Linked DNA regions of Arabidopsis thaliana. The protein of the gene in region 1 interacts with the protein of each later gene in a pairwise test. Each region holds a gene or a part of one and is shown on either strand. Other genes may lie near its edges.

Evidence for each region. Proteins that work in one complex are often made in the same cells at the same time.
Region 2: the proteins of AT2G31220 (region 1) and DREB26 interact in a two-hybrid assay, tested with the Arabidopsis thaliana proteins (one large-scale study listed by BioGRID).

What each region holds. Positions count from the first base shown.
Region 1 is NC_003071.7:13,298,884-13,305,888, reverse strand, and holds AT2G31220 (basic helix-loop-helix (bHLH) DNA-binding superfamily protein), read right to left. Parts: upstream 3,224-7,005; 5' UTR 3,137-3,223; intron 2,916-3,136; 5' UTR 2,876-2,915; coding exon 2,869-2,875; intron 2,817-2,868; exon of another isoform or gene 2,774-2,816; coding exon 1,956-2,773; intron 1,862-1,955; coding exon 1,412-1,861; intron 1,330-1,411; coding exon 1,228-1,329; 3' UTR 1,020-1,227; downstream 1-1,019. Other genes in the region: AT2G31215 (basic helix-loop-helix (bHLH) DNA-binding superfamily protein), read right to left, coding at 5,587-5,823, 5,930-6,082.
Region 2 is NC_003070.9:7,693,041-7,700,045, forward strand, and holds DREB26 (Integrase-type DNA-binding superfamily protein), read left to right. Parts: upstream 1-3,386; 5' UTR 3,387-3,614; coding exon 3,615-4,307; 3' UTR 4,308-4,791; downstream 4,792-7,005. UniProt on the Arabidopsis thaliana protein: Transcriptional activator involved in the regulation of plant development and tolerance to abiotic stresses. Involved in salt and osmotic stress response pathways. May be regulated by the stress-related genes RD29A, RD22, DREB1A or P5CS during stress response.

The DNA.
Region 1 (7,005 bases):
AAGCTTAAGATTCACCATGGACGTTGGAATTAAAATAATTTCATGTCGAGATTTTTTTTGTTTTTTGGTAGAGTTTGAAGTATTGATACAATTATTTGAAATTTTGACAAAAAATAAATAAACATATACTGTTAACAGAAAAATACTGAAAACCTAAAGAAAAAAGCTTTAAAAACGTGATTGGTTTAGCTCTAAAGAACCCGATCCCTCAACTCCAAAGAATCCAAGTCTTCATCATGGCCTCCACGAGCAGCTCCTATCCTAGACAAGCCCTCAAACCTCAGTTAAATGCTTACAACTTCTTTGAGGATAAACGAAAAAACGGAATGGCAATAACGGAGTTGAACAATTAGAGAAACCGTCACCAACCACAATTACCGTTTTTTTTTTAATTTCCTTTTGCCAAATGTGAATATGTGAAAAGCTATATATAATTATCAAGTGATATGCTTGTCCAGAATTAGTAAGTTAAAATTGTGATACACGTCATAAGCTTTTCACAGACATACTTTATTTTAAATGTGAAAATAGACTTCAAAACAAAAAAATACACATGAACGTGTTCGAAATAGGGAATAAGCAAAAAGGGTGACAGACAACGAGCAAAGACAAGAGCGTTGAGACAAAATCACATCCTTGTTTTTTTGTTTTAGATCTAAAACAAATTAACATTCACTAATTGATAGTACATTTTTTGTTTTGTCAAAGCCTAATTGATAGTACACATTATTAAATAAAAGCTTAAACACGTAATTCAACGGTAAATGAAAAATCGTAAAAAGAACCAGATTAAAATTGGCTCATTGTAAAAAGAACCACTGAAAATGTAAGCAAGTTTCTTAATTTCTAGTTAGAAAACCAGAATCGATAAAGAAGCAATGGTTTATAAATTCCGGACTGATGATTATTCTCAAACTTTTCAAACGACACGGCCCACTGGCCCATTAAGAGCAATATGAAACGTAAGGTAAATATGAGCAAGAGCATTTGTTAAAAAAAAAAACGCAAGAGATTAAAATGTGGTCGAAAAACGAAACCGATAAAGCTAGAAGAAATATATAGAGTTAGACAAAATCCAGACAAAGAGCCTCAGCTCTAGCTCTAACTTTAACTCTAGCTAAATAAACTTGAAAATTACCAAAGTGATTAATAACTTAATCAGTCATTAGAGGGGTATCACAAAAGTTATTAAAAAGCAATAAACTACTCCATAAGTGTGTCTGGAATCTAGTAGCCGTTGCTAGGAACAGCTTCCATGTACTGCTTCTCCACGACCTCCATCAATGTGTCTGCAATTCCACTTGCATACACACAAGATCCTTCACAAATCTGCCTCAAACCAAATTGAAAAAGATTAGTTTATTGGTTTGGAGTTAATAACAGAACTATATTAGTGAGACATTTTCATTACCTTAGTGTTGAACAAGAAGCTGTAATGTTCACCAATCTGTCCACCTGCAACATGGTGAAGATCTAGCTGAAGCTGATCAAGAACTTTGGTGGTGAACAACAAACAGTTAATCTTCTTCTTCTGAACAAGCTTGATGGTTACTTCATCATCGATTATACGTACATCGACCTCAGTGACTTTCGATTTCCTCTTAAGCCATGAACATCTCAGTGAGTTGTTGTTGTTCTTGTTGAAGCAAGACTGGTCTACTTCGCTCTGTGGCTTGTAATTCACAGTGTCTTCTTCTTCTTCTTGATCTTCTCCTCCTCCTCCTTCACCAACTCTAGCTCTCTTCTTGCTCCTGAATCTCCCACATCTCTTCTTCTCCACAAGCATCTTAAACTCCTCTATTGTCCTTAAAAGCTCTTTGATGTAATCTATCGCCTCTCCAACTATCGATGCTCTATCAATCTACAGAGATTAAACCAACAATGTCTCTCATTTCATAGTCTCCTCATACACATTAACAACATGAATTGAAATCAAAGCAAAGTAAAGTATATACCTTTGTGGGATTTGGAATGAGGTTCTTTAAGTCGAAGAAACGATCATTGAAGTGAACTCGTCTCTCACGTTCTGTAGGGGAAGTTCTCGACTTTCTTGATCCTCTTCCTTTACGAGTAACTCCATTGTTAAACTCAAGAATCTCATTCTCAAATCCACCATTGTTGTTGTTTGCTCCTTCAAAGTACAAAACATTCATTCCTCCATTAGCATCCATCTGAATTTGATCTTCAACTCCAAGTAAACAAGAGCCGTTTCTTAGCTGGTTCTGATCTCTAGGCTGCATAGGGAAATTCAAATGGAAGAGAGGGTCGTACATAACAGCAGCAGCAGAAGAAGAAGACATAATGTCTGAGAAAGAGGTAGGTAGCATAGAGGAAGGATGATGATTAGGAGGCAATGAGCATCTAGGCAAGTGTAAGAGACTAAGCAAATCAGGAGTTGTTGCAGAGTTAGGTCCCAAATTCACAAAATCCTGATACCCATTATCCCAATTAGAGTGTTGTTGTTGATGTGAAGCCATTTGGTGAATCAAATTGTTGTGGAGTTGATCACAAGGAGGAGGTGGTGGAGGAGGAGGATTGATGTGAAACTGGAGAGGTGTTGAAGAAGCTTGAGGACAATCTTGTGGGCTGAGATGGAATTCAGAGAGCTCTTCTACCTCAACACTGCAGTTGCTGTTGCTTGTGCTTCCGGCAACCAGAACTTGCGGTGGTGGTGGTGGTGGTTCGGCTTGAGAGAAGCTACTCTCCACCGTAACTTCTGCTGGAGTGTTGGGATCGAAACAACCCATTTCCTCGTAAAGGCTTTCTCTTTCTTCTGCGTTTGTAACTCAAACACTAATTTAGATCTTCCAGAACGAAAAAGGTAGCAACTTTCATGAGAAATTAGACCAAATAATGAAATTTTGTTACCTTCCATGGAAATGGTTCAACGAGTACTCTAGATGATTCTTTAACACCTGCAAATCAAAAGTAACATTCAACAATCTTTAAGAAGAAGAAAAACCAAAAATTTGAAACTAATTTCAAAAAAAGTTAGCTCTTTTATAATTTTGGAAACGAAACCATAGAAATGTTTGTTAGGATCCAAAAGATTAAACATTGGGTTAAGGGTTTGAATTTGACAATAGATAGAAAGAGATGTAAGATAATGAGTAATCAGAGCTGGGAAAATTAGAACCTTTGTTACAATTAATTCTTCTCTACGTCTGTCTTCTCAATTTTCAGGAGAAGAAGTAAGTTTTTTAAACAAGAGTCTCTCTCTCCCTCTCTGTGTTTGAAATATACGGACATTTGTAGATGGAGACACACAATACAATAAGGGTAAAAAGATGGCAAAGTTAAATTATTGGATAACATGTATATTCTAGGTGTCTAATTTAAACGAAAATGTTGTATATAATCCATTAAGCTATGTTTCTAATCCAACTTTGATGCATGATTTATTAAGGTTTTGATTTGTTACATGGTTTGTGAAATTACTTCTTGTTTATAGTCATTTTTTAAATCATTTTCTATGCAACTTATTTTTTGATTAATCATTTCAAATGTTGAAACCTGATTACCAAATACCAATATGATCCTAAACATATCTTTTAACACTTAACCAGTTGTAAGAAAATTAGCATTGTATATATTTCTTTTACGTTATAAGCTCACTTTTAAGAAAATATAAATTGGGTTTTTTTTGGGGGCTGTTTTGGTTGGAGCATGTGATTTATCATTGTGGCCAAACATAAAGGTTGGTTAGAAGAATCAACAGATGGGTCCCTTGCCGAATCTCTCAGGTCTTTTCAACGACTTTAGGGGTATTTCCGTCATTATCAGCAAATACGATCTTCTCTCTGACCAATATGATATGGGCTCCACTAACTCACACCGACAAACCAAGTAGCCCCGTTTGCTCTTTCCCATTTCTACCCTTTTCCTTTCATTTTAGTAAAATTTGGATAAAAATATCCCAAATACAAAATTGTAATTGATAAAAGTATTTTAACGCGAAACTATTTTCTTGTCTTAGATGTATGTTTTACTTCTATAATTAATCTCATGTTTAATATGTGTTATGTTTATGCAATCGTATTTTATTATATACTCGAATTGAAAAAACTCTTCGACTTAATACAAGAACCAAAAATACTAATGCACGGTTTAAATGGATATGTTTTGTATATAAAAAGTGTTCAGTTTTAATTTATGGATGATTAACTACCTTATCATCAACAATCATGGAATTATTTATCACATCATCTAGTTTGATTCATCTATACGTTGTACATGGCATTGATAAAACTTATGTATGTATATCATAGTTAAATAGAAGTATAAATACTTAAACCCCTGGGTTTTCTAATTTTATAAGTAAACTGTGTTCAACAACTAAACCATCATAGAATAGTTTCTATCTCAAACACTTCCTGTAATGTATATCGACAACTCACTTAATTAATCTAATTTAACACTTCCTTTCTTTGTGTATAATCGATAACATAAAATGATAAAATAAAAATTCATCCATAAGAAAAATATTTAGATACTTGAAGAGATGTATAATAGAGAATCTGGTAAAAAAATAACATGGACTGTATTGAATATAAATAATTCATTTCATTCATATATGTTTATATTTCAATCTTTTCTATTAAATTTTTCTAAATAAATAACAATTTTGGATCAAACTAATTGTATAAGTTTCCTTGTTGAGCGGTTGGGTCATGCGATTTCTGTTTATAGCAAAGAGAGCGGGTTGTTTGAGAAGTAGTGGAAGTAGGTCCCACATCCAAGAATGGGATAATAATATACTTTATATTTGATTTAGTAAAAAAAAGAATTAGGGTTATTCTTGAAATTCGACAGAAACTGAAAAAATTCTGGTCACCTACCTCTCTCGTACACGGTACACTGCGACTGTCCCCATCCTAACTAAACAGTACAAACTCTGATTACTCAGAAAATGTTAAAATGTATTGCCGGACCAAACCAACGATTTGGTTTTTGATATATTAAAAATGTAGTGCCGCTTGATTCGGTCCATACATAGCCAATAGTTTCAGAAAAGGGGTTGGGTTGGATTCATTTAGGTAATGAATCGTATCATTTTTATTTTATTTGACGGTTGCACTACAGATATTTCATAGAAATTGATATTAGTTTAACAGGGCCTGCACTTCTCTAAAAATTATCGGTCTACAAACCCGACTTAACCGGTCTAAAACACACGTCACAATATCTCTAACAATAGACAAGTCTATTCAAAGTGGTCTATGATTAATTTGATCACTCTTATATATTATGCATGATGCTTCATCGTAGATGCTTGGGGTTGGGGATGAATTTCATCATTCATCACTGCTTCTTTTCTTTGAATCATTCCTTCTTTTCTTTCTCCGTAATCAAAGTGCATTCATCTTTCTTATATAACATTGTCTTGACATTTTCAGCTCTAAAGAAAGTTGGGTGTGTTGGCAAACTAGTCACTTTTTCAAACTTAATTGGAAAAGTAGTCACTTTACTATTCATAATTTGCAAAGTAGTCACTTTTCACTATTTGATTCGTACACTTGGATTGTACAACACTTTTAGTGTACAAATGTAAAGTGTACGTTGTGTATTTTTATATATATATGTACACTAAAAGTGGTGTACAAATCTAAGTGTACGAATCAAACAGTTAAAAGTGTTTTTGTTTTTGGAGAATGGATGCTCTATCTTGCTAGTCCCATAAATCGTGTTTTTATTGTCTACTTCAATGTTGTTGTGCCTTGCACCGCATTTTTTCTTCTCAACCAAATACTTAAGCTCGCTAACTAGTCTTTGTAACTCGTTGATGTAAACGATCCCATCTTGAACAATGGATGCTTCACCTCCCTAGTAATAGAGCATGTGTATTGATCAAGAGATATTGGAGAGAATGAATGAAAGATTAAACAGACGAAAAAGAATGAAAGATTAAACATAAAAATATATATCTAACCTTTGTGGGATTTGGAATGAGGTTCTTTAAGTCGAAGAAACGGTCATTGAAGAGAGCTCGTCTTTCGCGTTCTGTAAGGAAAGTTCTCGACTTCTTTGATCCTTTTCCTTCCTCTGCCTTGAACCTCTCGTTTTTTTTTGTGTAACGTTCCATGAAGATGGTTCAATACTCTAGAAGATTATCAATTTCAAGAGAAGAAACAAAGTTTCTTTAACAAGTCTCTCCCTCTCTGTATTTTGATTGAATATAAGGAGATTTGCAGATGGAATTAAAATTTTCTATTTTTTTTTCACTTAGGACACAAATTTATTATTTTATTTTTTTAGGACACAAAATGTTGACTTGACTTAATTAGCACTATGTTTCTAACCTATTTCACAGTAATGTCTTAAATAGATGTTGTTAAACATATTTTATGTCTATTTTTTAGCTTAATAAAGTTGTGCTTTTGCTGAAAAAATTATGAAATTATACCCTATATTATCTTTACAATTGAATAACTCTTCGACTGGATTACACAAACAACAAACAGATCGAAGATGAGGGATTTGGGTAGATAGTTTCCTACATATAAAGTTTTCATTATTTGTTAATAAATTGACAATTACTACTTCATCCCCAATAATCATTCATGATATCACTTCGTTTTAACCTCATTTATCTATGTGCATCACACTCGTAGAAGCGATGATTCAGAATGTCCAAATTTCGACGTTAACTGTTTTGAAGAAAATAAATTGAGAAACATATCTATTTGTCTCTCTCTTAATAATATCAACAAACGCTAGAAAAATATTATAAGTTTTATGTTGCGGTTAGATCATGCCATATATGTTTATAGCAGTATGAAAGAAGATGAAGAGGTAGGTCCCTCATCCAAAAATGTGAAAATATAATTTCATATTTAATTATTTTTTATTTTTTATTTTTTTTTGTAACGTGATGATTTATGGATACTCTCGTAACTTTATAGAAACTGAAAATTTTCTTGTCACCTACTTCTCTCGTACACAAGTACAGAAGTAGTTGCTATTGTTCCCAACCTACCTAGTCATACAAACTTTGGAACCATAACG
Region 2 (7,005 bases), on another chromosome or scaffold:
CCAACGAGTATTTATATGGCTGATGATATATAATCTTTGGGCTTGTTATTTGTCATCTTCCCATAAGGAATTGTTACCTTTACTTCTTTTCTTTTTTGTTTTCCTTTTGATAGATCTTTACTTGTTTCTTCTGCTCCCTCCTGTTTGTATAACTAACTATTTACAGAGAATTTTGTTAAATACTTCGAGAACATGCAAAGAGAAGATGTATATATATATTTCTGCTAGAGTGAACAAATATGTGATCGGGGTTTATAGCTTAGTCATTTTTCGTCTCATAGTCATATATAAATCTAATTCATAAAAATATTGTGAATTATGTAAACGGAAAATAAATTATATATGAATTTATAAACCAAAACAAATATGTATGGGGTCTATCATATTTTATGTCCCCACATCATTTTTAACATTTTCAAAACCGACTAAATCATAGATCTGTGAGATATACAAAAGAAAAGGATTTGGTGGTTGAACCTAGTTCACTGGATCCATTATACATGGTTGAACCTTCAACGTACATCTTTAATGAAAAAAAATATGAAAAACAAAAAACATTCAACGTATACTATTTCATCTTCCTCGAAATTTCCTTGCCATGCGCTGTAGTATTGTAATCCTCCAAATTTGTTACGATAAATAGTACACCAATAATAAATGTTGAAACTATTGAGGTTGAGATTGTATCGTGGTGATATTGTTGAGTCATTTGTTGGGAACTGGTACGGAGAGAGTACGGTACCACCAATTAATACATACAGTTTATTGGATTTTCCATTTATCAAGAAAGATCCATTTTGTTTTAATTTTTGTTTGTTTGTTTGTTTGTTAAAGCAAATATGTTTGTACTGCAATGTTTGTTTACTTGCCTTAGCCTTTACTTTAGGCTTGCATGTCTGAATATGTCTATTCATGTGTAAGTGAAACATCTTGACAATCCTAAAACCTATCGTAAAATATAATGAACATGGTCAATCCACTCGACATCAATTAGTCATAAAAGCCTATAAAATTGATGCATTTCTAGTTTAGTGTATCATTTTCAAAATTCAAAAGAGGAGATTACATTCGAGTAAGTGTCAAATATGAAATAAGCTACGTGTTAAAACTCAAAAGTTAAAATTGAAAGAAGCCACGATCGAGATGCTTCTTCTCGTCATGCAAACGCATGTTTTGGCTGGAAAGCTGACAAAATCCGCCCATATTCTTTCTCGCTCTCTTTATCGAACTGACATCTTGGAGAGTTTTGCTTAAGACCAAAGTGTGAAATCTAAAGACGAAGACAACAAATTAAAGTACCATATCCCATGATTAATCTTAAGCTTTGTGAGAAAGTCAAGGCTGTCCACAAAGAACATGTCATCTCCCATCTTTTCTTACATACGATCATGTGCTCGTTGCGTGTCCTAAAGTTTTATATGCTTTATTTATTTATTTTTATATTTTCCCCCTTTTTCAATTGTTTATACTTTATATCAATCTTTAGCATATGTTCGTATAAATTATGTTGGTATATATTAAAGTTACGTAAGACAAAATTTATTAGAATTCGAAATCCTAACTCGACAAAACGAGTTAAATTGAGCTTTATTTGATTTTCTATATTCTAAAATAGAATGACTCAAAGACAAATTGTGTATATATGTATATATATAATTTTAATAACACAAGTTGTATGTGGAGAAAACGATGTAATTATAAATTTGGATCATATTTTCGATATAGTATGAATTTTTTTTTAATTTTTTTTAAAGATTACAAAATTTAGGAAGATAAATACACGAGTGAGTCTGACGAGAGAAAACGCGGTTTGGATTTGGGTAGCAAAAGAGACAGAGTGAGAACAGCTGTAATTTGAAGTCACTCATCAATTTAGCATCATCACCTTCTCCCACACTCTTCTGACTTCACTCTTCGCTATTTTCATTTACTATTTCCTATTGACATTTTCTTCGTAAGTATTCCATATTACTAACAAAATTCATGTTGTTTAATGATGTAAGAAAACAAGATGCTAAAAGGCGATATCGTTCTTCTTGAATAGCATTTGTATGTATTATGTAACATGTTACGTTATGGTGTATAATTAAAGATTACCAAATGATTATAATACTATCAAACGTATTTATACTAATTACTGTTTTGTACGACATCTCCATTTTGTTAACGCGTAAGTTACTCACAATTCACAAAGCGATGAGCCACGATGTTAAAATGTTAAATTCAATAGCAAGTTGTCATATAGCTAGGTTTAAAACCAGATTTTTCTTTAGACTTTGATGATACACGTAACAAATCTAATAAAAAGATTAGATGGATCAATATTCTAGTAATAAAAAATATTACAAGTAATAACATTTTCGTGCACGTATGTTTGCAGGTTTTACAGTCACTTTTTCATAAAAATATATAAACATGATACAGTATATATATATTTGGTGTATAACTACAAATATACACACTAGTTTAATCGGTAAAGAATAAACATAGACAACCAATAATTAAACCATAAATGGGGCCACTTTCTTGGAAAGTTCGTATTACGAGTTAACGCGTTAAAACGCAGCTGTAATTCGTAATCTCCTGATAGTGATGATAGGTACGTATATAGTCAATATATAAAAGAAAATTGATATCTCACAACCTAAAAAAATACTATAGGATATTTTAGCATCACTCCTCGATTTGCTCATCAACTGGCGTCCGTGTGTATAATATATATACTCTCCTGGTTAATTAATTCCTAGCAAAATTGACTCCAATCGGTAATTTATTTTAGTTTGATAGTTTAGTTCACTCGGTTTATATTTTGGACAAATTCTAGAAAGAATCTAACACGTTAATAAACTTGGAGAGAATAAATCTAATTGTAAAATGGACCCTTGTGAAATTAATGTTTTTTGTCATTTAAATTGTAGAATAAAAAAATATACATTTTTCTTTGTAACAAGAACATGCAATTGATAAAAATTTACGTGATCGCATAATTAATTGTTGTTTTGTGGTTCCTCAATAAAAAAAGCCAATCAAAATCATTATACGTTTATGTATTTTTCCTCTAAATACCAAGAATATTAGTTATACATGATTTATTTTTTATAAGAAAATGCAAAAATAGCAAAAGGTTAAGATGAGGCCATGTTCAGGTTCATTGTTCGAACTTCGAACAATTGGGCAAAGCCTTAACATGCATCCATATTCGAATAAATAACTAAGCTCCAAAGATTTATGTTCACTAGTTTCTTTTTTTTTCTTTTTTTAATTTGAATGGAACAAAAATGTATTAATGCCAATTGCTAGGATAAAGGAAAAATTAGAAGAAAAACACCTGTCATGCACCACAATGTCACATTCATACACAAGAAACCATACTATATTTCATTTGACCCTATTTTAGATTTATATCAATAAATAATATTTCATCTCTTCCTCTCCCATACCCCTCCCAAATCAATCCATCTCTATATATAATCTTCTCAGCTCACACTAATCCTCATCAAAAAATCTCTATCCATCCACAACAACAACAAAAACTCAAGAACAATATCTCCACTTGATCACTACCACATTGTCCAATCACTCTACAAAGCCTGTACGTACACAACAACATTACCATGGTGAAACAAGAACGCAAGATCCAAACCAGCAGCACAAAAAAGGAAATGCCTTTGTCATCATCACCATCTTCTTCTTCTTCTTCATCTTCTTCCTCGTCTTCGTCTTCGTGTAAGAACAAGAACAAGAAGAGTAAGATTAAGAAGTACAAAGGAGTGAGGATGAGAAGTTGGGGATCATGGGTCTCTGAGATTAGGGCACCAAATCAAAAGACAAGGATTTGGTTAGGTTCTTACTCAACAGCTGAAGCAGCTGCTAGAGCTTACGATGTTGCACTCTTATGTCTCAAAGGCCCTCAAGCCAATCTCAACTTCCCTACTTCTTCTTCTTCTCATCATCTTCTTGATAATCTCTTAGATGAAAATACCCTTTTGTCCCCCAAATCCATCCAAAGAGTAGCTGCTCAAGCTGCCAACTCATTTAACCATTTTGCCCCTACTTCATCAGCCGTCTCGTCACCGTCCGATCATGATCATCACCATGATGATGGGATGCAATCTTTGATGGGATCTTTTGTGGACAATCATGTGTCTTTGATGGATTCAACATCTTCATGGTATGATGATCATAATGGGATGTTCTTGTTTGATAATGGAGCTCCATTCAATTACTCTCCTCAACTAAACTCGACGACGATGCTCGATGAATACTTCTACGAAGATGCTGACATTCCGCTTTGGAGTTTCAATTAATCCGACGGTCCATAATACATACTTTAATTAGTTTTCTAAATCATTTTTTAAATTCTTTTTTATATATGTAACATATATTTACCCTCGTCGTAATTATTCATTTCCAAGTTGTTTGTTGCTTGGAGAGAATTGACGACGGATACGATTATATAATATAATTGTAAGTTTTTATATGTAGCAAACTCGGTACAATTCGGATTTAATAGGGATCTAGGAAGTTCACATGAACAAGCGACTCTTTTTTTTGTCACTTCTTTGACTTTTTCATGTGAGGTTTCTTTTCATCAATTTTTTTTAACAATGTGTGAAAATATTTCTGTATTGTAATGATATATTTCGCACAATAGTTTTGTGAAATAAATCTGGCGCTATATATGATTTTGTATCATTTTCTCCAACTCGTTTACTTGTATATATGTGCCAAGTTGCTACCAATATGTGATGATTTTGCAATCCAACACATTATCTTTGTTTTTTATTCTTATTTTGGTAAGTAGTAAAGCCGATGATGTATATAATTGACAATCATTTTTTTTTCACTAATTGACAACCATCATTGGTTAGAAGTTAGAACACATCATTGACATTGACATTGGTAAAGTTCTTAAGATGAATATATATGTAAATTAATGTATAATTAAATCTGAACTACTTTTTCCCGAGGTCTCTTCATAATTCATAATTTGTTTGATTAAATACTATTATGTACTATACTTTTGCACAAAAATTAAAGTATAGTACTATACTCAGAGGAATCTTACTGTTTCATGTGCCGTGGAAAAGTTTGGTATAGCAAATAATGCACACATTGCTTGGGGACAAAGTTCATATCTTTGAAACTTGGAACTTAAAAAACCATTTGTTTTGATTTAATTTATTTTCCTTTTTTGGGAAAGAATCCCATGGAGACAGAACTGCAGTCAAGGGATATAAATAACTGCAATAGAGTTAGAGTTATGTAGGATTCACTAATGAGTACTGTAAACTGATTTTTCTATTCATATTCAGAGTACTCTAACTCATTCAAACCATGAAACTTACTTGAAACCATCACCAAAAGGTAGGAGATCTCTAGCTTGCTTTATTTTGTAGCTTTGGTTCTATCAATAGATCAATGTATACAAGATTGTTTAACGAATATATGATTTAACATGTAAGAGAGTGACCGCAAATTGTGATATTAGTCAAATTATGTTCACAACCTTTTACAAACAGATGCCATGTGGAAAAAGAGTAGACCACAAAAAAAAAATTGTAGTGTAGATGAGAGATGTGGTTGACGTAGTTGATTGTCTAAGGCCATCAAAACCATATACTTTTGTTCCACCTTTTAACTGAGTGATGATTAGAGTGCACACAAAACGTTTTACTCTGATTAAAAAGTACAATATTGTGACTTGTGAGTTTGTAACTGTCCTCTTACGACCAGAGCCATCCTCCACTCTAGAAGTGAAAACTAATAAGCTTGCTCACTCGGTCAAACATAATTGTTTCCTAGTGTGTGAACGTATACGGTTCAATGCTATTTGTTGGCTGGCTTAGATGAACTTGGTCTAATAGTTAAGTATTGTGATCATATCCTATGAATCTACATCATACTAACACCGCATATATAAAAAGAAAAAATGATGTGATCAGTGATCATGTGAGTAAAGTATGATATATTGGTCTTAGTGTGACAAAAATCTTGGAGACGTTATCGTCTGTATAATAGAAAACAGGACATAGTTAAATGGTTTGTTCACAATTTTGAGGTCCCAACTAAACATAAGATGGGACCCCATACTTAAGAAGATAAAGTGATTTGATAAGACATTCATATGATTCATATCATATCACATCAACATTAAATCTGATTGTGTAGAGTGTTATAGCATTTCTTTTGTCAAAGGGAACATCTAAACTTCAATATTTGGGATAAAACCTTGAAGTCACATGACATGTCTCCTGCTCAACGCTCTTATTTTAGTCGTTTCTATTTCTTTAGTGATTTAGGATTCGGCGTCCATGGGCTTTGGTTTTGGGGCCATTATCGTTTATTTTTTGTCTAGCTCATTATCGATTCTGGCCCATCCATTGCTAAATAAAAAAAGAACAGAAAAAATCATTAAAAGTTGCTGTCTGCTGTAAGTTCTTTTTCTAGAATTTCTTTCGTTGCAAATAGTGAAATGCATTGGGCTTCAAAAAGAGGCTCGGCATAATTCGGTTCATTTAAGGCTTTATAAAGTGGATTGAACTCTTTAAGTTCAATTTCTGAATATAAGAAGCAATGGTGATTGATGGCTACAGTGAAATATGCAATTTTTAATAAGTTCATTGGATTAAAAGAATTTTAGTAGACGATGATGTCAAGTTAAGAAAAAAGGTTTTAGTAAATAGGAAAACTTGTAATGGATTTTCTTCCTTCTTCTAAGTGGTAGATTCCAAACTGACAACCTATTGATCCCCAAAAATTTTGTGGAAGAGTCTTGTTTGCTCGCCAAAAAAAAAAGCCCTAATAATCTCCCTTGACAAAATGTGTGGAAGAATCTATATATTTTTGATATAGATTTACTCATTTACAAGCCAAATGAAAAAAAAAAAAGTTTACAATAAAAATGAATAATTATGGGCATGCTTTAGATAATAATATAAGATTAAATAGAAGTCAATATAGTCCACAAGATTAGGTTTAGTTACTTTTTTGCACCACTGCCAA